Linked DNA regions of Canis lupus familiaris. The protein of the gene in region 7 binds, or shares a complex with, the protein of the main gene of each other region. Links are inferred from orthologs where the notes say so. Each region holds a gene or a part of one and is shown on either strand. Other genes may lie near its edges.

Region 1 (4,453 bases), on a different chromosome or scaffold from region 7:
TTCACTATTTGAGATTATGCTGTGGTGAAAGTCTTTGCGAATATAACTCTTCTTTTCTCTCGAGTTACTCCAGAAAAGATTGGCAGTTATGGGCCAGAAGACACAAATGTTACACAGTTTTGGTATATCACTTGTAGTGTTGCTTTAAAAAAAAAAGAAAAAGAAAAACTTGTGTCAACATAATGTTTCTATAGTCAGACTTTTTTTCTTGTCTTTTCTTTTTATTAAGTAGGCTCCACACCCAGCATGGAGCCCAATGTGGGGCTTGAACACACCACCCTAAGATCAAGACCTGAGTTGAGATGCAGTCAGATGTTTAATCGACTGAGCCACTGGTGCCCCTATGGTCAACCTCTCTAAGCCTCAATTTCTTGATCCATAAATGGGAACAGTAGTCATTCCTGTCCCATAGAGTTGTGAGGACCAAAGTAAATGAAATGTGTATTTAGAACTTAGTAGCTGCTTAACAAATGCTAGGCATCATCACTGATTTTCACTAGCACTGGTTTTTCCACAACCTCATCAACATTGGATATTACCAATTAAAAAAAAATTATTTTAGAATAGTTGGTATAAACTATACTGAAGGGTGACTCCTGCTGTTCTTTCTTCCCATCCTGCTCCTCTCCCTCCTACTCTCCTCGGACTCTTTCTTCTCCCTCTTCAGTTGGAGATAGAGAAGGATACCAAGGGGAAAGGAAAAGTAACTAAAAATAAAAAAGACACCATTAAGTTGAGACATTGAGTTTTTACATGTAACCCCTGCTTCCGCAGACAACTGGCCAAAAAGGATGATCAAAGGATATAGGACACAATAGCTATGATATCAGATACAGGCTGTGACTCTAAGCCTTGCCCAAGGTCACCTTTTTTCACTCAATTCATTGAATCTATTTATTGGATCCTCACTATGGGCTACTCAATAGTAGGCACTAGAGCTAAGGATGGGAGGCCAGGAATGATCTATAAACAGGTTCATTTTAAAAGCTCTAGCTGGGGGCAGGTGGCTCAGCGGTTGAGCACCTGCCTTCGGTCCAGGGTGTGACCCTGGAGACCCGGGGTCGAGTCCCACGTGGGGCTCCCTGCATGGAGCCTGCTTCTCCCTCTGCCTGTGTCTCTGCCTCTCTCTTTCTCGTGATTAAATAAGAAAATCTTTAAAAGGGGGAAAAAAACAAAAAGCTCCAGCAGGAATGAACTGTAGGTGACAAGAGGGGCAGCTCGCGAGCAGAACCAGAACTCCGGTTCCGGCTTAACCCGAGCGCTCAGGGTCCAGCACCTAAGACCCACCGCCTCCCGCGCCGCCGCGGCGCACACTGAGCGGAGGGGGAAAGACGCGCCGTGTACGTCGGCTCGGAGGCCTTGGCCCCGCCCACTTCCGCGACGCCCAGTTTCGGCGCCGGAGGCCGGGAGCGCTCCGCAGCGGGGCGGGACTTCCGGGGGGCGGGGCCTGGCCTCGGGTGGCTCTGCCTGCGCCTGCGCCGGCGAGTAGAAGCCCCGGAAATCGGGGCTCGGGTTCGCCGGAACCGGTGCCTGCGGCTACTGCTTCCGGGTCGGAGCCATGGCGGTGGCAAATTCAAGCCCCGTCAATCCCGTGGTGTTCTTTGATGTCAGCATCGGCGGCCAGGTGAGGTTCCAGGCCCGGCCGGGAGGGTCTCCCGCACCCGGGGATAGCGGACTCGGGAAGCCAGAAGGCGAAGCTGGACCGGGACCTACCGACCTGCGGGGCGGGGGGCTCGGGAGGGAGAGGAGTCGTCTCGCGCATCCCAGCGCCCCGCCGGGGGGCGGGGGGGACCGGGCCGCCCCCCCGGATCCCTGCTCGCTGAGGCCTTCTGACCGTGTCCCGCCGCCTGCAGGAGGTCGGCCGCATGAAGATCGAGCTCTTTGCAGACGTTGTGCCGAAGACGGCCGAGAATTTTAGGTAAGGGGATGCTCATCGGAACCGGGAGCCGGACCGGGCCTGCGTGGCGGCCCGCTCCCCGCCCTTGAGATCGGAGCTCCGAATTGTCCCCGTTTTTACCCTTCCCATCTCAGTTCATCGTAATTCTGGGTGTCGAGGCCGGCGGGCCCGCGGGGGGCTCAGGCCGCGCTCCCCTCCCCGCCCCTCTGCGCCAGGAGCGCCCCCCGCTGTGGGGTCACCGAGACTGAAGCATCCCCTCTTTTCCCTTTCAGGCAGTTCTGCACTGGAGAATTCAGGTCAGTCTCTCAGACGTGGTTGACTCGTCTGCTCGCTCCTGAAGGGTGCCCCGGGGCCGCAGTGGGGTTTTGGGGAACCACGCCCGTAGGCCTTGAATGATTGCTGGTGCCGGTAGTAGAAGGTTAATACCCCAAGGGTCTGTCTTCAGTTCATTTGCCTCCTTTATCTCTCTCCTCCCCACCACCTTTAGAGAGTCTCTTGGCTCGAGTGTGTGGGAAGCTGGGAAGACCTGTCATTACTTGTCGTCATTCCAAGTCTCTTTCTTTTTGGTTATAGAAAAGATGGGGTTCCGATAGGATACAAAGGGAGCACCTTCCACAGGTAAGGCTTGGCAAACCATCCTGCAGGATTTTAGAATTACTTTCTAAAAAAGTAATTTCTTACTTTTTTTTTTTTTTAAGATTTTATTTATTTATTCATGAGAGACACAGGCAGAGGGAGAAGCAGGCTCCATGCAGAGAGCCGGACGCGGGACTTGATCCGGGGTCTCCAGGATCACACCCTGGGCCGAAGGCAGGCACGAAACCACTGAGCCACCCGGGCTGCCCTGTAATTTCTTACTTTCTTTAGAAAGTAAGATTCATTTCTTTAAAGGGAACTAAAACCATAGGATAATTCCTAGATCTTGAGAAGGAATGTTTTTTGTGAACTCAACAATAGATTTGAAGGCTTATTAAAAACCAAGGGATCCCTGGGTGGCTCAGCGGTTTAGCACCAGAACTTTGCCAACTGAATTCAGCAGAAATGCCAAGGTATTAACAGTAGGTGCAAGGTTACAATTAACAGTGTTCTCAGCATCCTCTCCCCCCATCCCCAGACCCCCAGGGATGGATTCTGATTAGCTAAAGCCAGTAAGAGCAGAACATTTTTTTTTTTTTTTTTAGAGCAGAACATTCTTTAAAAAGGAGGCAGCCCGCGTGGCTCAGCGGTTTAGCGCCGCCTTCAGCCCAGGGCGTGACCCTGGAGACCCCGGATCGAGTCCCACCTCAGGCTCCCTGCATGGAGCCTGCTTCTCCCTCTGCCTGTGTCTCTGCCCCCCCACCTCTCTCCCTCTGTCTCATGAATAAATAAATAAAGTCTTTAAAAAAAAAACAAAACACCAAAGTTTAAAAAACGTTTTATTTTTAAATCAGTGTTAATCTAAAGTATAATGAGTACGTCAATGTTTTTCTAAATGACAGAACCTTCTCTCAGGATGCTTTATTCTCTGTTTCAGGGTCATAAAAGATTTCATGATCCAGGGTGGGGATTTTGTTAATGTAAGTATTATTTCTTTGCTAATAAAGACCTGTAGGAATATTGGTTTTTATTACTGCTGTTGCTGCTATTTTTTTTGCTACGGAGTCCAGTCCTGAGGCTTGAAACAATAACCAAGTTTGATGAGGAAGAGGGGTGACAGGAATGTCCTTTAGAGTTGCTGGCTTCCACTCTTTATACCATTAGGTGACAGACATCAGCACCCTGATTGAGTCACTGACTTCCAAATCAGCCTTTTAGGGCCAGAAGCTAACTTTCCCAGCATGCCTATAGATGATCCATGAGAGATGCAAACTAGTCAGTCACATGAAACTTGGGTAGAAATCAGATGCAATTGTTTTGTTTTCTAAATGGCAGTAAGTTCTCTTTCAGTGAGCTAAATGCTTATGTCCTATTTGCACATGCCTGGAAAGCTGAGTTTTTCATCAGAAACCGATTTAGTGGGCAAAGAATCAGAGCAACAGAGGTAGATCATTCTGGAAGGATGTTTCCTCTATTTACTAGCGGGGCCCAGTAGAATGGCTCTTCGCTGCGATTAATGGACTTTCTTGTGACTAGACTGTATGTGTCTCTCATACCAAGCCTCTTCGCCCTCCTCTGACTCTGGAAGGTGCTGAATAAACCATATCTCTTCTTAAATCTACTTTTGTTCTTAACCAACCACTTGTGTGCATGTCTGTGGTCTTATTAATATCATTTGGTTAGTCATGTTGCTATTTTCTTGAGTCTTGGGAGATGTCTTTCTCCTTCTTATGTATATTTATTTAGTTAAACTTTGAGGAATTTTTAAAGACTTCCTTCCTGTCTAGGAAAGGTTACAAAGTGGCAGATTTTAGGCTGAACCAGACTTTTAGATACACGTTGTTTCATGTGTGTGATGTTGTAAAACTGGGACATTTCACCAGAAAATTCCAGAGTTTTGTTTTCTCTTTAAAGAATGGAAAACAGGTGTGCACTTGGCCTGTGTTTCTCATGTAGCAGCAATGGTTTAGAATCAAATAA
Region 2 (2,822 bases), on a different chromosome or scaffold from region 7:
CGGGTCTCCAGGATTACACCCTGGGCTGAAGGCAGGCGCTAAACCGCTGAGCCACCGGGCCTGCCCCCCTCAAGCTGACTTTGATGCAGCATTCCAGCTAGCCACTCCTACTGGCTGAGGCAGCCCCCAGTCTAATGCCCATTTTAAGGACCTTGACTAATAGGGACTGCTGCTCAGAAAGGTGCTTTTGGCAGGAGGCAGAATAGAAACAGACCTTATTTATTAAAGATCATGTCAAAGTATACAAAAACTGGGTTCTTTTAGACTTGATCACCACTTGACTGGTATGTCTCTAGCAGGAGAGAAATCATTTATTATGGATAATTATTCTCTGGGAATTATTTACTCTGGGAGTAAATCTAAAAAGATGAGAAGGGGGGAAAAAAAAACCCTAAACATCCCTGTAAAATAGTATCTTGGAAATTTAAATGGAATGTATCCCCCCAGCCACATCATATCCAGGTCAGATTTATAGCGATCAAGCTTCAAAGAAAAGACACAATAAATCCAATCCACATGGCTCTTGTAAAAAGGCATCTATTTGGTTTTTAATACAAAATGACTCAGAGAAACACAGAAAGAAAAATATCATACAAGCCAGTTATTGAATTAAAAAAAAAATCCCCAATGAACAAATTTCAGTGACATTCCCTGTCTTTGGCTTGTATTAGGAAACAAGAAACTACAAACCAACCTGTGTCTGTCTCTTTGAAGAAATCTTACTTAAAAAAAAAAGAGGAAAAAATCCCAAACAGTTCCTGAAATCTGGCCGGTGGTTTTAGAGGCCACTGTCAGCTTGTCTTAATCATCCTGGTGGAAGGGGTACCAGTGGTTGCTGGAACATGGCCACCTCCTCTTTGCTTTTTCCTAGGAATGGTCTTCATCTGAAGGGAGGCTGCTAGCCTGGGCACTGCTGGATGCCACTTATGACGCCTGAGGTCTCAGGGGTCAAGCAGCCGTTGGGGCGGGTGTCTTCCATTCCGTATCTTCACTGAATCTCCCCCATATACAGTCTCTTGTCACTGGATGCTGAGAGAACTGAGGTGAAGAGAATGAAGAAGATAACTGGAACTAATGAAGGCTCAAGGAGACTTGGTGCTCAAGGGCTCTTGTGTCAAGAGCCAATTTTGGTATAAAAGAGCAATTGGATTTAGCTTAAATTCCCCTCCTCTTCAACACCACTCACAGGAAACTGTAGCCTGGCTTTTCAATCCAAGTCCTCTTGAAACCACAAGGGTGGACTGTGTTATGGAAAATGCATTATCAGGGTCCAAACCCTGATGTCCCACATCAGCCAAACCCCATAAAGAAGACCTTCTCAGCCATTCTAGGGAAGAATCGATGTCTGTGCCAGTCATTTTGTAAATGTGTTTTTGCTTGTTATAGTTAGCCCTGGAGAAAGTCATACTTTCTTCTTAAATTCAAGGCCCACTGTTTAATTAGCTAGCCAATAAATATCAAGTTGCAATTTATAGCTGAATATTAGAAAATATCATCTTTTAAAAATCCAAATACATCACTGAAACACAGACTTGAAACAAGTAAACTTAAGAGAACTAGAAACAGATTAACCAGTCTCCCTTTGAGATTAAGAAAATGGAACATGCTCTTCCTGTCACCATTTAAAACTATGGTGAGACAATCAAGGGACAGCCATAAAGACTACCTGGAAATTCACATATGACAGATATCCACCTCTGCCTTTCTATTTTCAGGGGCCCTTTAGGGAGATTCCCACAGTTTCCCTTTCCCCAAAGTCAGGACAGACTTACTGATTGGTTCATCAGGGTGGAAAGCCACTTCATTGATGGAGCCAGCATGTCCAGGCAGCTTATACAAAATCCTCCGGCTTGTGGTATCCCACACATACACAAACCTGCAAGGTATCATGAGGAGCAATGCTAAAGCTTCCTAGAGCTGAGAGTAGGGTAGAGGCATGGCTTTTTAAGAGAAATGGAAGCAGAGATTTATTTATTTACTCCATATTTACTGAACTGTGTTCTGATGTTTAGAAACTAGAAATATAGATTCTGAATAAGGGATGGATCCTGCCCTTGAGTAACTGAATAGAGATACAGGAATAAACTATAAGCATTACTGGTATTTTATTTATTTTTAAGATTTTATTTATTTATTCATGAGAGACACAGAAACATAGGCAGAGGGAGAAGCAGGCTCCATGCAGGGAGCCCAACGTGGGACTCGATCCCGGGTCTCCAAGGCTCACACCCTGGGCCAAAGGTGGTGCCAAACCGCTGAGCCACCCGGGCTGCCCGCATTACTGGTTTTTATTTTATTTTATTTTATTTTATTTTATTTTATTTTATTTTGTTTATTTTATTTTATTATTTTATTTTATTTATTTTAATTTATTTTATTTATTTATTTTATTTCAATTTATTCATTTATTTAATTTAATTTATTTTATTTATTTAATTTAATTAATTTATTTTTATTTTATTTTATTATTATTTTTTTTATTACTGGTATTTTAAACATAAGTTTTTGGAATAGGAAAGAACATGGAGAAGAAAGATAGTTTTTCCTATGGTCCCCACACAGAAATCTTCAAAGAATGCCTGATATTCATCTAGGATATCTTATAGGAGGTTGGGAGCCTAGGGTTGCAGATTCACTTGAGCTGCTCAGTTTTGCATTCAAATCACAGAGCCCAGAGAAGGGACAGAAAATTCTGTGCGATAACACAACCCAAATATATATACTTGACTCAATCTGGCACTGAATTCATGGGAATCCCATGACCAGACCAGCTAGTCTAAATTCATTTTACAGATAAGAAAACTAAGGTACAGTAACTCTTC
Region 3 (3,803 bases), on a different chromosome or scaffold from region 7:
GAATGCTAAGGATGTGGCCCACTGGCTGGGGTGCAGTGCCACCTCTACCTTCAACTTCCACCCGAATGTGCGTCCCGTGCCCTTGGAGCTGCATATCCAGGTAGGACCTGTCCTCCCCGCTCCTATGTGGCCTTGTGGCAGAGGACCAGGTCTGATGCCCGTCCCTTTGTTTTCCTCGGTCTCCAGGGCTTCAACATTAGCCACACACAGACTCGCCTGCTCTCCATGGCCAAGCCCGTGTACCATGCTATCACCAAACATTCTCCCAAGAAGCCTGTCATTGTTTTTGTTCCGTCCCGAAAGCAGACCCGCCTCACTGCGATTGACATCCTCACCACATGTGCAGCTGACATCCAGCGGCAGAGGTGGGGCAGGGAGGGGCAGGGAGGGTTGGGTCACTGAGGTTGGCTCACCATGAAGAGCCTCCTGTTCGTGAAGGTGGGGATTAGCCCCATCGGGCTAGGGGCTGGCCAGCTGCAATGGTTGGAAGGGTCTTGCCAGGGTTGGGAAGCGCTCTGAGCCGATTCAGTGTCTGTGCTGCCTAGGTTCTTGCACTGCACCGAGAAGGATCTAATCCCGTACCTGGAGAAACTAAGTGACAGCACTCTCAAGGAAACGCTGTTAAATGGGGTGGGCTACCTGCACGAGGGCCTCAGCCCCATGGAGCGACGCCTGGTGGAACAGCTCTTCAGCTCAGGTGAAGAAAATTCTTGTGGCCAGAAGGAGGTCAGATGTAAGGGTATCACAGGCGATAGATATGAAATTTTAGGACGTGGGTGATACTTTCCTCCAGCAGACTCATCATCCTCAAAATTCTTTTCTGATGAGTTTATCTATTACCTCATTTGATCCTCCCAATAACCTTGGAATATGGGTAGAATATCATGCCTACTTGCTAGATGAGAAAACAGGCATTGTAAAGGTGGTATTACTTCAGAATCTGGTTTTCTAGACCAGGACCTCTGACTGGTAGACCTGGCTTTCCACAGATACCACTCTCACCAAGTTTGTTAGATCTTAGAGGTGTAATAAACGCTCGAGCTGAGTCTCATTTGGGTGGTCTGTGTACCACTGTCCCTTGTTGACCTATGGCATTTCACGCAGAGTATTAGCACTATTTGGTGGCACTGCAGTGGAGATGCTGGCACTCTTTGATGCTTGAATCTGTGGTTTGAGGCATGCTCACAGCTCAGTCTTGCTGTACGTACTGAGCCAGCGTATGACTGAGTTGGTGTTACCACGTTCCAGTCAGCAAGGCCAGTCTGTCAAGCAGATAGCTAAGCCTAGCTTTCCCTGAGCTTGGGATTCTATTCTAGGATTATCTCATTTCCTACAAGATAGTCTCCCAAGCAGGGCAGCAGCAGCATGGAGCCACCTCTTACAGTATTGCGTTAGCCCTTGTCATGATTAGGGCTCATTCCCAGCAAACTTTGCTCTGAGTTCTCAAAAGAAGCACAGGATAAGGCCCTACCTGCGAGGGAGACAGATCCTCCCAGGGAGCTGGCCTGCACTCAGTCATCTTCTCCCCTCTGCCTCTCAGGGGCTATCCAGGTGGTGGTAGCTTCTCGAAGTCTCTGCTGGGGCATGAATGTGGCCGCCCACCTGGTGATCATCATGGACACCCAGTACTACAATGGCAAGATCCATGCGTGAGTCTCACTGTGCTCTGCATTAATGGGAACCTTCTCCTAAAATGAACATAACAGGGCAGCCCGGGTGGCTCAGCGGTTTAGCGCCACCTTCAGCCCAGGGCCTGGTCCTGGAGACCTGGGATTGAGTCACACATCGGGCTCCCTGCATGGAGCCTGCTTCTCCCTCTGCTTGTGTCTTTCATTAATAAATAAAATCTTAAAAAAATAAAATAAAATGAACATAACATCTGCAGATACAGAAATTATGAAGGAAAGATGTTAGGGAGATGAAGAGCCAGCTGAGATTCCCCCACAGCCACATACATGTCTGAGAGAGTGTTTAGTCTTAGGCCCTAGGTTCACTTTTTCTTTTTTTAAAGATTTTATTTATTTATTCATGAGAGACACACAGAGAGAGAGGGGCAGAGACACAGGCAAAGGGAGAAGCAGGCTCCATGTGGGGAGTCCGATGTAGGACTCAATCCCAGGACTCCAGGATCACACCCTGGGCCGAAGGCAGGCACTAAACCTCTGAGCCACCAGGGATACCCTTTAGGCTCACTTTTGCTTCTGTGGTCATCCTGTCACATTGCAGCAAGTTGGAGAACCAGGAAGTTTGAGGTGGAGATTAGGTAGTTGTTTATCTTATAGATAGGGAAAGTGACATGATCCAAGTCACACACCTGTGTGGTAACAATGAAGTAGAAGGTTCGGTTTTCCTTAAAAACTTGAATGATTTGGGATCCCTGGGTGGCGCAGCGGTTTGGCGCCTGCCTTTGGCCCAGGGCGCGATCCTGGAGACCCGGGATCGAGTCCCACATCGGGCTTCCGGTGCATGGAGCCTTCTTCTTCCTCTGCCTGTATCTCTGCCTCTCTCTCTCTCTCTGTGACTATCATTAAAAAAAAAAAAAAAAAAAACTTGAATGATTTAATTCTTAATTTTTTCTCAAAATGTAGATTTTTGTTTTCCTGGAATATTCGCTATGGGCTTATTTTTAACATCTGAAATTCATTCTAGGTTTGGATTTAAGTCAGGTGAGTGTCTAACTTCTGAGACACAGCTGTTTGGAAAGCTTGACCTACATATTTGATCCTTTCTTAGGGAGTTACTTGCTTTTGGCATTCGCTGGGTTTGTAGCTTTGGTTCAAGGACCCTGATTTGCAGTCTCAACTCTTACAGTCTCAACTCTTACACTTGAAAATCACAATGATATAGAGAGAAACAAGTGAAACTAGTAACTGAGCACGGGAAGTGCTCGGGGGATAGCTGTAATTGTCCACTGTCTCCCACATTTGCGTTTTATTCTTTGGCATTGAGGGAGTCTGAGCTGCCTGAGTGTAGTCTCCATGTGGATGCCTCTTTGCCACCTTTCTTCTCCTCTGTCCCCAGGTACGTGGATTACCCCATCTACGATGTGCTTCAGATGGTGGGCCATGCCAACCGCCCACTGCAGGATGACGAGGGGCGCTGTGTCATCATGTGCCAGGGCTCTAAAAAGGTCATTCCTGGTCTCAGAGCAGATTCTTTCTTAGGTGTCTTTCCTTGTTTACATTCTTTCTGTTAGCTTCTGTTTCTTTTATTTTCCACATTGCTTTTATGATAACCCTCTCAGCACATGGAATTTTGTACCCTTTATTTTTGCTGCTGCTGCTGACTCCACATGTTGAGGTCTTTACTTTCTGGCTGGTTCTTCATATATTGTTAGGCCTGTTTGACTTGCTCTATCCATATTCCCATTGTAGAATGGTCAATGAGGCCAGTGGGACCAGGCATACACACCTAGTCAGTACAGTGAGTTCTTCCATTGTTGTATTAGCTGGGTCTGTAACACAGAGCCATTCCCTGTTGATTTGCCCTTAGCCCTTTTTTGTGACCGTGTTGTCATTGACTCTTTATTGCCATCTCTCCTTTTCCAATCTACAGGATTTCTTCAAGAAGTTTTTATATGAACCTTTGCCAGTAGAGTCCCACCTCGACCACTGTATGCATGACCACTTCAATGCTGAGATTGTTACCAAGACCATAGAGAACAAGCAGGATGCCGTGGACTACCTGACCTGGACCTTTCTGTACCGCCGCATGACACAGAACCCCAATTACTACAACCTGCAGGGTCAGTGGACTGTGGAGTGCACAGTATCCTTTTGTGGTTCTCATGGCCCTTGCCGGCC
Region 4 (3,803 bases), on a different chromosome or scaffold from region 7:
GCAGTAGAGACCATCACACGAAAAGAAAATGTTTTTGTTACGTTTACTTCCTTTTGTTTGTAAGTAAATGAAAAGGGTACCCAAGAGACTGCACATTTCATGGGCAGCACCACCTGGTTAGGGTAATGCAAAAACCGATGGATGTCCATCTCCAAAGACATTTAACTTAAATATCGGACTTTTTAAAATATTTCCAAATGGTTTAGAAAGCTCATCTGACCTTTCTGAAAAACCACGCCAGCACCACCCAGTGGCTAACTTCCAAACTTAATGAACACACCGGTGTGACAGGAATCTAAGGAACTGTCTGGGCAGGGTTGTACAGAACCTCATCCTGGGGCAACGGGCCTTGATAGCTCTCTAAGACTCTCTTTGTCAACCCTAAATCCTCTCAGGCAAAATAAATCAGGCCAAGAGTCAGGTTGAGGTTCAACTCACCAGATCAGGATGAGGAAGCTTTTTAGTGAAGATCCTCATAGACCCCTGGAAAACATCAGTCACAATAGCTGTACAAATGGAAATCAAAATGCAAATTCTGTCAGGTTGGAAAGCATTTCAAAAATATAGTCCTAACTTCTAAATTTCTGAAATAAACCAGCATCTTCTAGCATAAGACCTAAAGCTCTCACTAAACACAGAAGTACCTATGTAACATATACCACCATGGTACCTTACATTATTTGTGCAAGTAATTATTTTATGTCTGTCTTCTCCACAAGATGCCCCTTGACCCTCCAGCACAGGGTCTGGCCCATAAGAGAAAAATTAAGTGTGTTTGAAATGAATGAATGATTTATAAGGCCTAGAGACTTATCACAAAAAAATTCATAAGCAAAGTAAGACAGATCCAAAGAATTTCCCATAACCATACGCTGTATGCAAAGGAAGACAGGAATCCACCTTGCACTAGACATAAAAGAAATGCAGAGGGGATCCCTGGGTGGCTTAGCAGTTTAGCAACTGCCTTCGGCCCAGGGCATGGTCCTGGAGTCCCGGGATTGAGTCCCCCATCAGGCTCCCTGTGTGGAGCCTGCTTCTCCCTCTGCCTGTGTCTCTGCCTCTCTCTCTCTCAATGTCTCTCTCCTGAATAAATAAATAAAATCTTTAAAAAATAAATAAATAAAAGAAATGCAGACTAAGGGACAGGACAGAGAAGAGAACCAAAGCAATGAGAAAGAACAACAGGGTTCTAGAATCCTGATAGGACACAAGTTACAGAATTCATCAGAGGATGTGCACAGGCTGAAGACATCCAGCAGAGGTGGCACGGCAACCTAGTAGAAAGAACGCCAGCCCACAATTCCACATCAATATAAACATCAACACCAGCAGAACCGAAAAAAGGACAAGAAAAAAACTGCATTAGGTCTCCAAAATTATTCATCTAGCTCAGCAGTCTCTAAGCTAACGGTTAATTTTGGCATTCATGGAAACCGTCTAGTTGTAATGCCAACATGGATATTAAGGATAGAGGACTTGAAGACTGGGAATCTTTTTGGAAGACAGCCTCATTTCTCCAAGTACAGGCTCAGGGGGAGGAACTAGCTTTTACTCTGCTTCACCAATTTAGAAGCCACGCAAACAGCTCAGTGAGCCCTCCTCACATTAACTCTTGCACTACCAGACTACCAGTTGACAAAATGCTGCCAGCCCCTCAGCACAGAACTGGATCAGGATTTCTAGAGCGCAATTGTAACCATTTCCATGTATTAACTAAGCATGCCATCAGATAATAACCATATCCTAATTTTTTTAAATGGAGAGGAGCCTGTTCAGGAATAAAGCTTAGTTCACGTGTACATAGACACTACCCTGACACAAAAAAATAAACAGTTAAGAAAAGGATGGGAAGTTGCAAAGTGCCGTAAAAACAAGCAAACAGGGATCCCTGGGTGGCTCAGCGTTGAGCGTCTGCCTTTGACTCAGGGCATGATCCTGGGATCAAGTCCCGCATCAGGTTCCCTGCATGAAGACTACTTCTCCCTCTGCCTATGTCTCTGCCTCTCTGTGTTTCTCGTGAATAAATGAATAAAATCTAAAAAAAAAAAAAAAAAAGTAAACAGAAAAGAGCTCTTACAAAAGAAAATGACTTACTCTTCTTTTTCTTCTTTGTACCCCCCAGAGCTGAGTGCAGAGCATTCAGAAACCAGGACAGGAAGTCAACTCCATCCCCTGGAAAAGAAGGAAGGGTGGGACACGTCAAAGCTGGAAATTAGTATAACACAAACCATGCACTGGCTGGCATGATGTCACATTCCTGGTTTTCCTTTCCTTCTAGGCCTCACCATTCCTTCCCCTGGCTGCCTCTTTATTTGGTCAGTAAATGCTGGCACTCCTCAAGGTCAAGCCCTTAGTCTTCCAGTCTTCACTCTCTCCTTGGGCTCTCTGACCCAACTAGTACCTTTGATTATCATCTCTACTTCAAACTTGTATCTCACCAGCCACCAAAAGCCAGTATTAAATTTCCCCTCTAAATCACTCCTCAGCCTGAATCATGTTTTTAAAACTTAAGTCTGATGTCACATCTTGGCCTAAAGGCCTTCACTAACTCCCCACTGTTGTCAGGGTATAACCCAAGCTCCTCTTTGCAGCACCTAAACCGGATGATCTAGTCCCTCCCTCCCACCTCAGCTCTCACACTGTCCCCTGGACTCTAGGCACCTGGCTACTGGCAGCCTTCCATCTGTTCCGGGCATGTCCACGTTGTTGGAAGCATCCTCGCTACCTGGAATGCCCAGCCCTGACCTATCTCCACTGTGCCTAGAACTCAGCTAGCTCTTCCTCCACTCTGACCCTGGCCAACTTCCCAGGTGCCCAGCTGGGGTTCCTTGCTTTATGCCCCCTCCCAAAGCATACTTCACTTCATCTATCATAGCACTTATACCCTTGAGTCAGCTTTTTACACAACTACCTTCCCAACTAGAATAGGAGCTCCTGGAAGAAAAAAACTGTGCAGCTTATCCCTGTTGCTCTAAAACCTACTAGCAGCACGAAAGGATGGTGAATAAACAGACACGAGGCGAGAGGATGTTGTATGAGATCCAGGTGCTAAGAGCTACAGAGTGTCCTCTCTACTCACATGGCAATAACTAGTTGTACTTAGGAGGGATGAAGAGTCAAAATAGGTCATCGGAGTATCTAGTCTGCAGAATGACAAAATGAGAAGCAAACACGGCAAGTGCTTAAGAGCTGGTGCCTTTCTCAAAGCCTCCTCATCTTCCCCTCAGCCATACAGTTTAGTTTACCAAATAAGACAGACTTTCTATCCAGATGAAGTCACAGGATTCTGAGCAGGGCAGACTGATGAAAGGAATGAGGAACGCAATCATGCTATCAACTAGAAGCACACCCAGTTACAACAAGGTTCACTTCAAGTGCAAGTAAATTTGCTCATCAAACTGGTTTTGTTGCCCTACCATTAGAAAAGATGAAGGACTCATTTCTTACCTTGCTTGGTGATCTGAAAAGTCTTCTTGCTGCAAAGGACAACAGCCTGAAGCATCTCATGGGGAGAGACATGTGCCTTGAAATTTCGAGGGTTCCAGAGCTTTCTCATCAGCTCTCCAAAACGCTGGACCAACAAGAACATGATATCCCCCGGAGGACGCTTGATGTTCTTATAATTATCTTCTTCCAAGAAGTAGTTCCGTAGAGGAGGAACATTAGACAAAGCCTAGAAGTAGAACACTCCAATTAATCCAGAACCCCCATGCAGGGCCCCGCACACAACCTCAGAAACAAGCTCTTCTACTAGAATTGGGCCTGTGATGGCCCTCAAGAGGCAGAAGGAAATGCTCAGGTTT
Region 5 (3,803 bases), on a different chromosome or scaffold from region 7:
CATAGCCTGCTAAATTTCACAAACTAAATATATGCCCATAACCTGTGTAAATATAGGCAGACAGTGAAACCAGCTAATAGAAAGGCCTTAAAGGTCGGGCAGAATAACTAACCCTCACACATATCATCACATAATAAAAACTCTATGAATGTCTACTATGTTCATAGTCCAAACAGGTCTTTCTAAAATTCCTCCACAATATGTAGTGTGATCAAGTTTCAGTGGGAGGGAATAGATGAATGGACAGAGTACCATCCCCACCTCCCACTTAATCCCCTCTAACCCCCATTCACCATCTCCCTTTGTGTTAGATGTCTGTTCATCCCACTTTATCCGATGCAGCATAAGACGCTTAAATTTCTTCTGGGCCTTGGGGCCTGGAAACAGAGAAGGAGAATTTTGCCAGAATGGTGGAAGATGATGAAGTAGAAAGAACCTCTGAGCTCATTTGTTACTCAGACCCTAAGGTGGTAGTTGCAATCTTGGAAACCACATTTTAGGTTCTTCTACTCCAATAAACACAGAAACAGAAACCCAGGACGTTATACCTAGGCGTGGCTCTAAAACACTTATCTTCTCCTCCTTTTCCCCACCATTCTATTCACTTCAAGGCCTAGGGTTGTGTGGGGACAGTCTCCCTCAGTTTTTTCGGACTCACCCCCTTCCACTACTACCACGTTGACATCCTTGTGCAGTACAACCACCCCTGTCAGGTACAGTTGCCCAGCATTGGCCTCAATCTTGAACTTCTTGGCTGGATTGCTCAAATTTCGAACTCTGGAGAAGGGAAAGTTTAATTATGGCTTTTGTTTTAGCATCAGTAGCTGCCTGAATGGAATGGCAAATAAACAGATGTTCCACAATGGTTTTCTCTCTACAAACAACAGCCTCTGGAGTAAGCACGTACACTAACGCTTGAAAGAAAGGCAGAATCAGTAAGTCTTGAAGTAACTCCACTGTCTTATACTTCAAAGACCAGTATTGTACACACACACAACAAATAGCAGGTAATCAAAATTTACTCTAAGAAAGAAGAGGTATTACCACTATCCAAAAGTACTTGCAAGCTAATTGTTCTTGACAGTGTAATGATCAACAAATTCTTTGCCTTCTAGATGCTTATAATGTCAAGTTACCAGAATGCTATGCATGGAAAATTTCTAGAATTTTCTAGAATTACAAAAAATTGTTAGTAGCAATTATCTACAGTAAGCAGTAAGGGATCAGAGAGCAAGAAGGGGACTTTTTTCAGTAAAGGCCTTCTATACTGTTATATTAAAAAAATTCTTAAATATTCATTACTTTGTAATAATGTATCACTTTCATAATAAAGAACTAGTTATTAAACAAGAGCACTTTTAAAAAATGGAAGGTACACACGTACTCAACATAAAAATAAAATGAAGACATTAAATCAACAAGAAGGTAGAAAATATTTACAATGTGCAAAATGTATTTTGTAGTGGGAATAAAAGGATTACTACATTACATGAGAATAAGAATATAGTTACTGAAGAAAGAAACTTTTGATGCTTCCTGAAGAAATAGATTATATTTTATTTCACATAGAGAATGATCCTTAGTTCATATGTTGGTCTCACCAGGTATATTCATTCATTCATTCATTCATTCATTCATTCATTCATTCATTCTTCAGAACTAGTACTGGTTCACTGAGAAGCTCTCAGAGATAGAACAGTAAGTCTTTAACCCTCCCTCATTATAAAAGATTTACTAGCTCCTGATTCATGTTGAGGTCACAGAAGAGAGTAGGGACTGATGTTAGACCACAGTGATTCTGCCTCAAGCACTTGGAAAAGTTTTTGGTATTTCTAAGGCAAAGGCTGGCCCAGTTTGGACACCTACCTATATACAGATATGTGTACCCCCTGTGAAATGTCTTCTTTAAGCTTTTTAATTTTCTTGACCTTTCTCTGTTCTGCTGTAAGTTTTCGGGCAGCGTTGGCCTCTTCATGCGCTCTGTCGTGACAGGAAGGACATCCACAAGTGAGAAAGGCATTGAAGATCAGAGGCAAAGCTGAGGGAAAGAGAGAGCAACAGAGGACTCTCCCCTCCCTCCAAATATGGATCCCCTCAGAAGAGTCTGGGAAAGGTACTTGCCCGGGTTTCCACCCAATCCCATGGCACTTACTTCTGTCTTTTTGCCATCTGAGCTCTGACATGGGCTTCTACCTTCGTGGGGTCTTGAACAGCTTCTGTTCCTAATACTCGCATTAAATTTGAAATTCTCACTGCAAGTGGAGAGAGGATAGAAAACAATGAATTCTCCAGCTGGGATAACTTGTCACCTTTTCTCAATCAATTCAACTATTTACCTATTTCAAATCTCTGCTCCAAGTTTATTTCCTCCAAAAACCCCTACACCTTGAAAAGCCCATCCAATTAACTCAGTATTTGTGGAAGGTCACACAATCTATACAGTTGGTATACATTTATTTACACTGCTTGAAAATTTATGATAGATAAGGAACTTTAATTTCGTTGGTATTTTTCACTCTGATCACAGCATTTTTTTTTTTAATAAAGATTTTTATTTATTTATGAGAGACTCACAGAGAGAGAGGCAGAGACACAGGCAGAGGGAGAAGCAGGCTCCATGCAGGGAGCCAGATGTGGGACTTGATCCCAGGTCTCCAGCCCATTAGAGGATCAGGCAGGCCCTGGGCTGAAGGCAGCGCTAAACCACTGAGCCACCTGGGCTGCCCCTGATCACAGCATTTAATAAAAGATCCTACACATAACAGTGCTCACTCAAATATTACTGAGTGATAATGGAAACTACAGGAGTGAAGGTTTCTTTCAACAGTATTTTCATTTTTCAAATATTAAGAGTTATGTACAAAACACTCTATGCAAACACTGTAACTACTATCTTCATGAATTTCAAGACCATTACTCTTCCAGGAAGATCAGTGTTATATATTTTTACACTTTACAAATAAACCTTAAATGACCTCTACACCGAATATGTTGACCTGTCTTAACAAGATTGTAGAAAATTTAGAATAGGAAGAAAAAAATCAATGAATGATTCAGAGAAAACAAAAAGCACCCAAATACAGAGAGATATAAAAGTTCCTCTAGAAATACAGGGATAAACAAATGTACCACCCTTTCTTCTTTGCCTCCAAGATACGTACCTTTGGGTTCTGGAGGAGGCATCAGGCCCAGCCTGACTTTCTCTTGTAGTTCCTTCTGTGCTTCCCTCCTTGTTTGCCTTCGAAGTTTCTTCTGTTCCTTCTTGGTAAGATACACCCCCAGAGTAACTGGTGTGTCATTGTCAACTGCCAGGTAGAGAAATGAAAGTATAAAAGCAAGAAGCCCATTAGAGGAAGGTAGGTGACAATCAATCACTCACATTAAAAGAAATTTGCTATTTTTAAGTTGGATAATGGTAGTATGTTACATTTTTTAAAAGCATCCTTATCTTTCATAAGTGTTCTAACTTGTTTTTTCTTGAAGCAGGTGAACGCTTTAATCAACTGAAAAGTAGCAAATACAGAAAACAAAATTAGAGCTGCTCTAGTTGCTCTGCATGAGTATTTGGGTTAGGTGGGGCCAAGATGAAATTTATAATTTTGGAGTTACAGGAAAATCCTCTGGACTCCCAAAGCAGTTTATTTAATTTTCTTAAATTTTATTTGTTATTATTATTTTTTAAAAGTTTATTTAAGTAATCTCTACACTCAAAATGGGGCTTGAACTCGCAACCCTGAGATCAAGAGTCTCATGCTCTTTTGATTTGAGGCAGCCAGGTGTGTTCTCAATCTTTTAGTAATATT
Region 6 (4,389 bases), on a different chromosome or scaffold from region 7:
AAATTAAAAGTCCCATTTATTCTTCCCCATCGTGGGGTTTAAGTTAACAGCGAGCTGTGACAAACTGTTCCTGCAAAATGGTAAGACAGCTCAGAGGTACACAGCCTCTCCCTGAGGCTGTGCATAAAATCAGATTTTAAATAGGAAACTTTGTTATTACCACTCTACCAAGCTCCAGACATCTGTAAAATCATTAAGCTTACCTCCCATGTTTTCAGGGCAGCTCAAAACTAATACAGCATGAGGTGGTGGCCTCATGATGGTTGGCACCATCAAAGCATCAAGTCAACACACCACATTCCCGGAGAAACAATCTAATCAAGTCCAGCCTAAACGGTGGAACTTTTACTCACTTTAAAACAGCTGGGGTATCCAAACAGGGCTCGAGACAGGATGAGGAAGATCCCCCACTATCTGCCATTTCTGCAGAGGGAGATTTTTAGATAGTTAAGTTGTTCTTTATACTAAAACTTTAAATTTCAAAAATTCCTGTTGAGCTCAAGAAGGACTTCCAGAATTATAAACTCATGTTTTGCCTTTACACAGAAGAAAATAAAACAATTATCTTGTGATGAGTTTCAAGTTTGCATTTCTAATAACTGTACTATATAATATTAAAAGTTTATTAAAACAGAAATCCAAATTTTTGGACCAAAGAAAAAGTACCTTAAAGATAAAACAAAGACAAATACTCAAAGTGAGCCCAACTAAACTGTTCTTATCAGTAGGTTCGATCCCAGAGTGCGTTCCTCAGTGATCCCGCAGTCCAGCCTACAGCTGACACACAGGGATGGGAAAAGAACAAACAACTTGCTGAAAGTCCCTAAGAGCTCAGGTTAACACAAAATCTGTCTCCCAAAGAAGAGCGTCTTGCTGGGTTTTGCCTGGGTATGAAGAGCCAAAGGAGCCTCCCGTCTCTAACCATCCTGACCCTGCACCGAGGGCAGCAGGAGCTGGTCACCACCTGGTGTTTATGCCCCCACATGCCCCGCACAATTCAGAACACACACCCTACGTTATTTCAAGGTCAACAGAGCAGCAATGGTGTTTCTCAGGAAAGTGCTTGGAGGTGGTTCTTCACTGACCACAGCAGTGTCTGCTTTTGACGCGACAAACTGGCGCCGCAGCTCTCCCGAGCTCCCCAGGCACCTCCTCAGGCTCCCCAAGAAGAGAAAGGGAACGGCCAGTCTCCCAGCACCCTTACTCTGATCCCGAACTCTGCCAAGTGGTTTTTGGAAGCCACTTCAGAATTCCCAGGGCAGCTTTTGGGCAGAGCTGTGTGTGGACCTCACCCCAGACCTGCAGAACGAGAACCTCGGAGGTGCACCTGAGCAAGTCTTCCAAGCGATCCTCACGTGACTGACCGGAAAGACGGCCTCCACAGTTCCACGGTTCCCAGTGCTACCACCCGGCCTCGCTTGGCTTCTCCCGCCACACAGGAGATCAGAAAAAGTAGCAGTGGAAGGTCAGATAGTTGTTAGTGAACTAACCTCAATGTGGGGTCCTGCTCTGACCCCCGAGACTTCGCCTTTCCCAGACACATCTGTCCCTACACCTGTTACCATGTACTGAGCTATCTTAAGCCCTTCTTCCTCTGAAAGAAATCATGGCTTTAATGTTTCCATTACTCTTGACCTCTCCTTATTTACGGAATATCAGTAAGTAATCTATGAATTGGCTACAACTACACATCCAAATGAAAGTTCTCCTGAAATGAGCCCACAGAGCCCACAGGAGAGCACCAGGTGCTGCTGGTTCTGGAACTGCCAACAGAGCCTCCGACAAGCCAGGGTGCCAGCATGGTGACCCAGACTGGGTCCAACCAGGCAAGTCTCCCAGAGCACGTCTGAGCTAGGAGTGCACTTAGGGCACAAAGACCGGGATGGAGAACAGGCTTTCCTTCCCCTGACAGGCACGACTGCCTCCCACACACAGGGAGCAAAGCACCAAAAACTGGCAATCCTGTGCAGCTACCTGGCTAAAATGGCGTTCCACGAAGTCCCTAGGTGTGCTGCTCCCAGCTCCGTGGAGGTGGCACCATGAACCCCTTCAAAACCTGGAGACCAGGGACACACTGCTCCCACGGAAGGACCGTAGCCTCGGGGCACAGGGTCAGGCCCCCTGAGCCCGCCGCACCCTACCCTCTGAGGCCTGGAGCCTCCACGCGGGGGTCAGGCCCTTGGACCCTGCTGCGCCTCTGCAGCCTGGAGGAAGAGGAGGACCTGCACGCGGTCACCTCACTCCAACCCTGCAGCCACCTAGCAAACGGGGCAAACCAAAGACCACAGCTTCCTAGGCTGACGCTGGGCGGGGGGCTGTGTTACCTTCTCCGCGATGCTGTACAGCACCTCGTCCATCTTCATACACGTGGGGTCCCAGTCGTGTCCAAAGCGGATGACGACCACGCGGTCCTCCTCCGACAGGATGGCCTGATCCACCTGCCAGCCGTTGTGCAGGTGTGGGAGCATGTACGACATCTCGGGGCGGCTCCGGGTACACCTGCGGGCACACCTGCGGGAACTGTGCGCACCGGCTCCTTGCGGCCGACTGCGGGCAAGGGCTGCACGTCGCACCCGCCCGCGCCCCTGGGTCCCACAGCAGACCTCACCCCCCCGACCCCTGGAAGAGGGACGGCACTGAGGGGACGCCCTGCAGACCCAGTCCCCGGTGCGGAGGCCCCGGGGTCGCCCCCATCCGTGCCCCTCGGTCCCGCCGCGGGGAGGGCCTGGGACCCCCGCAGACCTTGCCCCCGGCCCCCGGCCCCGGCCCCGGCCCCTGTCAAGCTCTACCCCTGGAAGGAGAACGGGGCCGCGAGGACGCCCCGCAGACGCCAGCCCCTGCCTCCCTCGCCCCCGCTCCCCGCTCCGTCCGCCCGCACCTCAGCCGACCGCAGCCTCCCGCGCGGCAGCCCTTCCCGGCGGGGACGCGAGCCGGTCGGTGCGTGCGCGTGGCCGCCGACGCGAGCGTGAGCGTGCGCGTGGCCGCCGACGCGAGCGTGAGCGTGAGCGTGCGCGTGGCCGCCCGACGTAAGCGTGAGCGTGCGCGTGCGCGTGCGCGTGGCCGCCCGACGTAAGCGTGAGCGTGCGCGTGCGCGTGCGCGTGCGCGTGGCCGCCGACGAGGGGCCGCGCGCGCCCGGCGCCGGGAGGGAGGGACACCGAGCCGGGGCTCCCGTGTGCGCCCGGGCGGTGCGGCCGGTGGCCCCCGGACCCCGCGGGGTCGGTCTCCTGAGGTGTCGCCGCGGTCACGGGGGGCCCGGCTTTGCCGCCTGATTCTCAGCCCCAGTCAGGCCCCTCGGAGCGACCCAGCTTCTCCGCGGCGCCCCCGTGCCCTGGGGGTGTGACGAGGGCAGCCGGCCGAGCGGAGCTGCGAGGTGCGGTTCGGGTCCCGGCGGGGAGCAGCGCTGGGAGCCGGGGGACGGGGCCGGCACACGGGACAGGCCGAGGACCGTGACGTGACGGGCTGGGGAAGGCCCGTCCTGCTCACCGCACAGCCGTCCCCGGGGCGGTCAGGGCAGACTAGGCCCCGCTGTGCGGTCGCCGCGTCAGCAGAAGACCAGCTAAGGTGTGGGTCACCGTGTGAAACACGCACGGCCCTTGTCGCCCGTCGCCCCGTCCGCCTCCGGGCGCGTCCTTTTTGTCAAGAAGCTGACGGAGGATCCCCCACGTCCTGTGGGGTCCTCGCGCTGCAGCCCCGGGGGGTCGTAGAAGCGCCACTGCGGTCTCCGTTGGGGCAGCTCCCGTCCTGCTGGGGGGAGGCCCGAGCGCGGTCGGCTGGTCGTCCCCACTCCCCGCGGTCCCTGAGCCCCGGCGACCGCGGACTCCCGCCCGCCTCCCTGCCCCCGCCTGCCCCGGGCAGTTCGTGCGAGCGGAGACCGACCGGGACATCGCCCGGGACTGCCTTCTCCAGGCCGCGCTGTCCGCGGGCGTCAGGATTCGGTCCTCGGTGCTGGTTACCACTTCATCATACGCATGTGTGCATTTTTTTATTTTTATTTTTTATACATTTATTTTTTGTTGGTGTTCAATTTGTCGACATCTAGAATAACACCCCGTGCCCGTCCCGTCAGGTGCCCCCTCAGGGCCCGTCACCCAGTGTGTGCATTTCATTTATCCATCGTCTGACATTTGGCTGTTTCCACTTTCTGGCCGTCGTGCATATGCTGCTGTGAACATCTGGATTTGTGTTTGTGTGGACTTAGGTTTTCGCTTCCCTAAGAGTATATGAGTGGAAAGCCGGGGTCACGCGATAACCGTGTTTAACATTTTATGGAATACGAACTGTTTTCAAGAATGGCTGCAGCTTTATTGTATTTATTCAAGAGAGCACGTGCATGCCCCCAAGTCGTAGGGTAGGGGAGCGGCGGAGGGGTGGGGCGGGGAGGCGGGGCA
Region 7 (4,260 bases):
CATATGAACTTAAAGAATAAGCCTATTCCCAGCCCTCCATTGTGACACTAAGGAGAAGCCTGTGCCTATCCACAAGGATGTGTGTACACACACACATACACACACATGGCCACTAAATGGTGCTGAACCTGTGCCATAACCCCATCCTCCTCAAAGACCCCTTCAGATGATCTTTCTCCTCCACCCAAATGCCCTCCCTCACCCCCATCCTCAGTCCCACACTCACCCTTCTTGACAGCATTGACTTCCAAGGGTTTCAGCCCCAACTTTGCCCGGAGTTTACTGAGGACAAGAGATACACATGTTAGGAGCTGCCAACAAAATAGGGACATCAGAGACATTTCTGGATAGAGAGTGAAAACAGGATGGAACTGAGAAGTCCTAAGGGTCCCCAAAGCAGAGACTGACCCAGGCAGCCAAGGACATTGGGAAGGATGCTGGCCTCCAAATCAGGGAACACAGGCACTAGGCCTGGCCTGCCCCTAACCAGCAGAAGACCATCTTTCTCTTGGGTCTTAGCGTCTTTTCTGTAACTCAAATGGTTATACGTCATTTCCAATTCCAGTCAGAATGCCTTAGTGTGTGAATGGTCCCCCAGGAAACTGTTCCCAGAAGCCCTCTGTCTCAGAAAATAAAAGTAGAAACATCAGGAAGACAGAACTTACTTGGTCTCCTCGATGCTAAGAGATGAGGCATCTCCTGAGCTACTTTTGGAGCTGGCAGCTGGAACAAGAAGTATAGTTCAGGAGCTGAACAAAGGGCCAACAAACCACATCTTTGGCTCGAGCTCTGCAGGGACCTCCCTTACCCATACCCGGGCCCTACTGAGACACTCGAAAACAGCAACCTTCCTCCATCTCAGTAGCTCCTTCCATCTCAGTCCCAATCTCTTGAGACCCCAACATAACCTTCCTTTCCTGCCCCAAAAGGTCCAACCTTTTTGCAGCCTTCACTCTGCCTCCTCTCCACTTCTGTACATTCTGTTTTCAGCCCACACTGCCCTCCTTGGCCTAACTCTGATAGACGAGATCCTATCCAAATGCTGAGACCAAATGCCACCTCCTTCTGAACTCCTATTTAATTATTGGTCAGAATGAACTGCTCTCTCCTGAACTCCACAGCTCATCACTCACTTCCAGGTCTGTTTCTCCCCACTGGTCAGGGACTGTGTTAGCAGCATGACTGTGTTCTCTGCGCAGTTCATCCAGTCAAGAAATACACTTAATGGTCCCTGTTTTGCGATGGATAGTGAGGATGCTGAGATAAAGTAGCTTTTCAGACTTCCTCTACTCATCTCTCACTCAGCAAGTAACTTCGGAACACAACACACAGACAGAGGCTAGACGCCACCAGATGGAGCTTCCCCACCCAGGTGCTACCACCTGTTCATCCTTCCTGCGTCCCCACTCCATAACCTACCTCTTCCCCTATACCTCACCTGGACCCTGGATCTCAACCTTTCTAGGCTCTCTCCAAGGTCACCAGCCTCCTTATTTCTAAATCCAACGGATTCTTTTCAGCTCGAATTTCCTTTATTTTCTGTGGTGTGTGTGACACCATTGACTATTCTTTGCAACAGACCCCATGACACAAGATTCTATAGTTTTCTTTTCTGGATATTGTACCATCAAGCATTCTTATAGCCTCTTACTCTACCTACTACGAAAATGCTGGCATTTTTAAGGTTCTACTGCCCACTCCTTACTCTCTCGCCAGGCTTCATTTGCCACCTGATTTACTTATGACTTCCAAATTGCTCTATCCAGCCCAAACCCTATCGGTTGCAATGCTCTCCACAACTGAACTCTCTCCCCTCAAAAGTCTGCTTCTCTCCCAAAGTCCTCAATTTCAGGAGACACAACCACCCACCCAGTTGCTCAAACCAAAATTTAAGGAGCCATCCTCATTTCCTTCTTACCCTCACCCAAGTGCTAAGTAAGCTCTAATTCCTCCTCCCAAACGGTTCTTCAATCTGTTCAGGTCTCTCCACCCTCCGCTGCCTCAGCACACGCCACTATCAATCCTCACGTGGCCTCCAGTCTTGACTATTTTTGAACCAGGTCTCAATCTAGGAATCTTTGCAAAATATGATCAACTCATTCCTCAGCTTAAATCCATGGCTCTCTACCACCCTCAAGACAAAATTCAAATTTCTGTAGGGCCCTTTGTGCTCCGACCGGTTTCCTATCTCTGCTATGAACCCTACCCGGTTTGCCCAATATCAGGTTTCTTCTTGGTTCTGCACGAGCTAGAACAACTTCATTGATTCATTCACTCAACAAATAAGGGCCTGTGAGGGGCCAATTTTGAGACAACAGAAAACCTCTGCCCTCGCAGAGGTTAGTAGAGAGAGACAACTTTTAATCCCAAACGGGGAGACTCTCTAATAATTGCTGACGGAGACAGCGTCGGGGAGCCGGGGCGGCAGCGCTCGGCTCGCACCCAGGCCAGACCGCCCGCCCCGGGACGCCCCGCCCCGCCCCCACAGGCCCCGCCCTCACCGGCCTCGTAGCCGTCATCGCGCTTCTCCCGCTTCACGCGCCGCTCTGAGGGCTCAGCCTGGCCGCGCTCCCGCCCGTGCGCGCCGCTGCGTGTCTCGGCTTCGGTCCCGCGCCGCCCGCCCCCGCGCTCGCCCCCACGCTCCCGACTCCGCTTCCGACGTTCGCCACCGCTGCTCCCGCCACCGCCGCTCCGGTGCTTGTGTTTTTTGTGCTCCCGGTGCCGCGGCGGCTGCTCGGTGGCGCCTCCGGTGCTGGCCGCCGCCGTCGTCCCGGCCGCCTCTTTCTCCCCACGGTGCTTCTTTGACGACCCCATGGTGGTACGTCCGCCCCGAGCCCGGCCGCCGCCGAGCCCCGACGACGCAAAATGGGACTACTTCCGGGTCGCCCGGCAGCCGCTGTCGTGTTGCCGGAAACCAAGAGTGGCTGCTTCCGCCGTTCGCCTCGGTGCCTGCCCCGAGGGCTCACGGGAAGGCCGGGGTTGGAGCCCGGCTGCGTGTTTGCGGAGCTGTTGGTCTGGTGGCGGTCTTCGAAGTGCGTGCGTGCGCCGGGTGTAGGGGTTACAGGCCTCCGAACTATAAGCCCTTAAAGCCGGCAATCTGGGAGCTGGAGGCGCCCCCCCCCCCGCCACCAGACGCTCCCTGCCTCACGGGTTTACCGGTTTTACCGTGCACCGCGCCCGCCGCTCCAGTCGGCGTCCTCCCGGTGGGCTCCACCCGCCCCCGCCCCCTCGTCGTGGCTCCATCGGGTGTGGGACGCCGCAGCTTGTTTTGAGACCCAGCCCAGCCTCTGAGCCCCTACACCCGATATTATCAAATGCTGCCTTTCCACCTTACTCGTATTGGGTTCTTTTTTCCTTGTCTTTTGTTTCTTTTTTTTTAAGATCTACTTATTTGAGAGAGCGCGTAAGCGGGAGCGGCAAGGAGAGGGAGACAAGGGCCAGCTGAACCCTGAGATCGTACCTGAGCCGAAACCAAGAGTGGGAGACGCCACCCAGGCACCCCCCTCACCTTGGATTGGGTTTTTAAATCTGTACTTTGAACCCCCAGAAACTGCAAAATTCCACACAGCACGACTGGGTATGTGAGCTCATTCCCACCCCCCTCCTTGGGGGCCCAAATTTGAAGTTACTTAGAAGTTAAAATCCCAAGGCGCATGGGTGGCTCAGTAGTTGAGCGTCTGCCTCTGGCTCAGGTCGTAATCCCGGACCCAGTTCCTGTCGGGCTCCCCAGAGGGAGCCTGCTTCTCCCTTTGGCTACATCTCTGTGTGTCTCATGAATAAACAAAGTCTTTTAAAAAGTAAAATCGCAATTCACATAATTCCTCCTCTGACCCGCAACCCCCAGTTGCTGGGACTGGCGGCCCCTGTGCAAACCACTGGTTACAGTGTAAGATACGTACCCCTTTAAGGATCCAAACCTCCTCCCCTCCCACCCTGAGTTCTCAAAGGCAGAGGCCATTAGGTCCTGTTCCCTCTTGAATTCCTAGGACCCAGCATAAATGTTGGAAATGGGAGTGGAGGAGTCACAGCTGTTGCTCTGTGAGATGATCCACTCAGGAGCAGAAGCAGAGCTGTGTGTGCTGGTGGGGGCAGCTCCACAACCAAAGCTCCTGGGTGATGGGGCAAGCTAAGCCTGCTGCTTCCTGCTACCTCCTACTCCCAACCTGCAGCCTCTTCCCAGCACCACCAGAAATTACACGTTATATTTCCCATAAAGCATTTAATTGTTATCTTAGGGGCTAGACTCTTGACTTGGGCTTG

What was found.
Region 1: SART1 (region 7) and PPIH share a complex: the UniProt entries of both Homo sapiens proteins name them as parts of the U4/U6-U5 tri-snRNP complex. The link is inferred for Canis lupus familiaris from reciprocal best matches to the Homo sapiens genes SART1 and PPIH.
Region 2: SART1 (region 7) and SNRNP40 share a complex: the UniProt entries of both Homo sapiens proteins name them as parts of the U4/U6-U5 tri-snRNP complex. The link is inferred for Canis lupus familiaris from reciprocal best matches to the Homo sapiens genes SART1 and SNRNP40.
Region 3: SART1 (region 7) and SNRNP200 share a complex: the UniProt entries of both Homo sapiens proteins name them as parts of the U4/U6-U5 tri-snRNP complex. The link is inferred for Canis lupus familiaris from reciprocal best matches to the Homo sapiens genes SART1 and SNRNP200.
Region 4: SART1 (region 7) and USP39 share a complex: the UniProt entries of both Homo sapiens proteins name them as parts of the U4/U6-U5 tri-snRNP complex. The link is inferred for Canis lupus familiaris from reciprocal best matches to the Homo sapiens genes SART1 and USP39.
Region 5: SART1 (region 7) and PRPF3 share a complex: the UniProt entries of both Homo sapiens proteins name them as parts of the U4/U6-U5 tri-snRNP complex. The link is inferred for Canis lupus familiaris from reciprocal best matches to the Homo sapiens genes SART1 and PRPF3.
Region 6: SART1 (region 7) and TXNL4A share a complex: the UniProt entries of both Homo sapiens proteins name them as parts of the U4/U6-U5 tri-snRNP complex. The link is inferred for Canis lupus familiaris from reciprocal best matches to the Homo sapiens genes SART1 and TXNL4A.

The regions. Positions count from the first base shown.
Region 1 is NC_049236.1:754,027-758,479, reverse strand, and holds the start of PPIH (peptidyl-prolyl cis-trans isomerase H), read left to right. Parts: upstream 1-1,469; 5' UTR 1,470-1,558; coding exon 1,559-1,624; intron 1,625-1,853; coding exon 1,854-1,918; intron 1,919-2,169; coding exon 2,170-2,193; intron 2,194-2,470; coding exon 2,471-2,515; intron 2,516-3,410; coding exon 3,411-3,453; intron 3,454-4,453. UniProt on the Homo sapiens protein: PPIase that catalyzes the cis-trans isomerization of proline imidic peptide bonds in oligopeptides and may therefore assist protein folding. Participates in pre-mRNA splicing.
Region 2 is NC_049223.1:69,155,299-69,158,120, reverse strand, and holds the end of SNRNP40 (U5 small nuclear ribonucleoprotein 40 kDa protein), read right to left. Parts: intron 1,877-2,822; coding exon 1,773-1,876; intron 1,039-1,772; coding exon 989-1,038; 3' UTR 522-988; downstream 1-521. UniProt on the Homo sapiens protein: Required for pre-mRNA splicing as component of the activated spliceosome. Component of the U5 small nuclear ribonucleoprotein (snRNP) complex and the U4/U6-U5 tri-snRNP complex, building blocks of the spliceosome.
Region 3 is NC_049238.1:34,672,282-34,676,084, forward strand, and holds part of SNRNP200 (U5 small nuclear ribonucleoprotein 200 kDa helicase), read left to right. Parts: coding exon 1-100; intron 101-186; coding exon 187-365; intron 366-545; coding exon 546-697; intron 698-1,540; coding exon 1,541-1,649; intron 1,650-3,021; coding exon 3,022-3,130; intron 3,131-3,555; coding exon 3,556-3,745; intron 3,746-3,803. UniProt on the Homo sapiens protein: Catalyzes the ATP-dependent unwinding of U4/U6 RNA duplices, an essential step in the assembly of a catalytically active spliceosome. Plays a role in pre-mRNA splicing as a core component of precatalytic, catalytic and postcatalytic spliceosomal complexes.
Region 4 is NC_049238.1:39,801,320-39,805,122, forward strand, and holds part of USP39 (U4/U6.U5 tri-snRNP-associated protein 2), read right to left. Parts: intron 3,674-3,803; coding exon 3,448-3,673; intron 2,173-3,447; coding exon 2,095-2,172; intron 507-2,094; coding exon 439-506; intron 1-438.
Region 5 is NC_049238.1:60,226,541-60,230,343, reverse strand, and holds part of PRPF3 (U4/U6 small nuclear ribonucleoprotein Prp3), read right to left. Parts: intron 3,306-3,803; coding exon 3,162-3,305; intron 2,253-3,161; coding exon 2,153-2,252; intron 1,981-2,152; coding exon 1,867-1,980; intron 778-1,866; coding exon 659-777; intron 378-658; coding exon 294-377; intron 1-293. UniProt on the Homo sapiens protein: Plays a role in pre-mRNA splicing as component of the U4/U6-U5 tri-snRNP complex that is involved in spliceosome assembly, and as component of the precatalytic spliceosome (spliceosome B complex).
Region 6 is NC_049222.1:688,317-692,705, reverse strand, and holds the start of TXNL4A (thioredoxin-like protein 4A), read right to left. Parts: upstream 2,991-4,389; 5' UTR 2,879-2,990; intron 2,521-2,878; exon of another isoform or gene 2,512-2,520; 5' UTR 2,478-2,511; coding exon 2,325-2,477; intron 424-2,324; exon of another isoform or gene 354-423; intron 1-353. UniProt on the Homo sapiens protein: Plays a role in pre-mRNA splicing as component of the U5 snRNP and U4/U6-U5 tri-snRNP complexes that are involved in spliceosome assembly, and as component of the precatalytic spliceosome (spliceosome B complex).
Region 7 is NC_049239.1:51,813,284-51,817,543, forward strand, and holds the start of SART1 (U4/U6.U5 tri-snRNP-associated protein 1), read right to left. Parts: upstream 2,880-4,260; 5' UTR 2,815-2,879; coding exon 2,502-2,814; intron 2,305-2,501; exon of another isoform or gene 2,207-2,304; intron 724-2,206; coding exon 666-723; intron 283-665; coding exon 227-282; intron 1-226. Other genes in the region: TSGA10IP (testis-specific protein 10-interacting protein), read right to left, coding at 4,232-4,260. UniProt on the Homo sapiens protein: Plays a role in mRNA splicing as a component of the U4/U6-U5 tri-snRNP, one of the building blocks of the spliceosome. May also bind to DNA.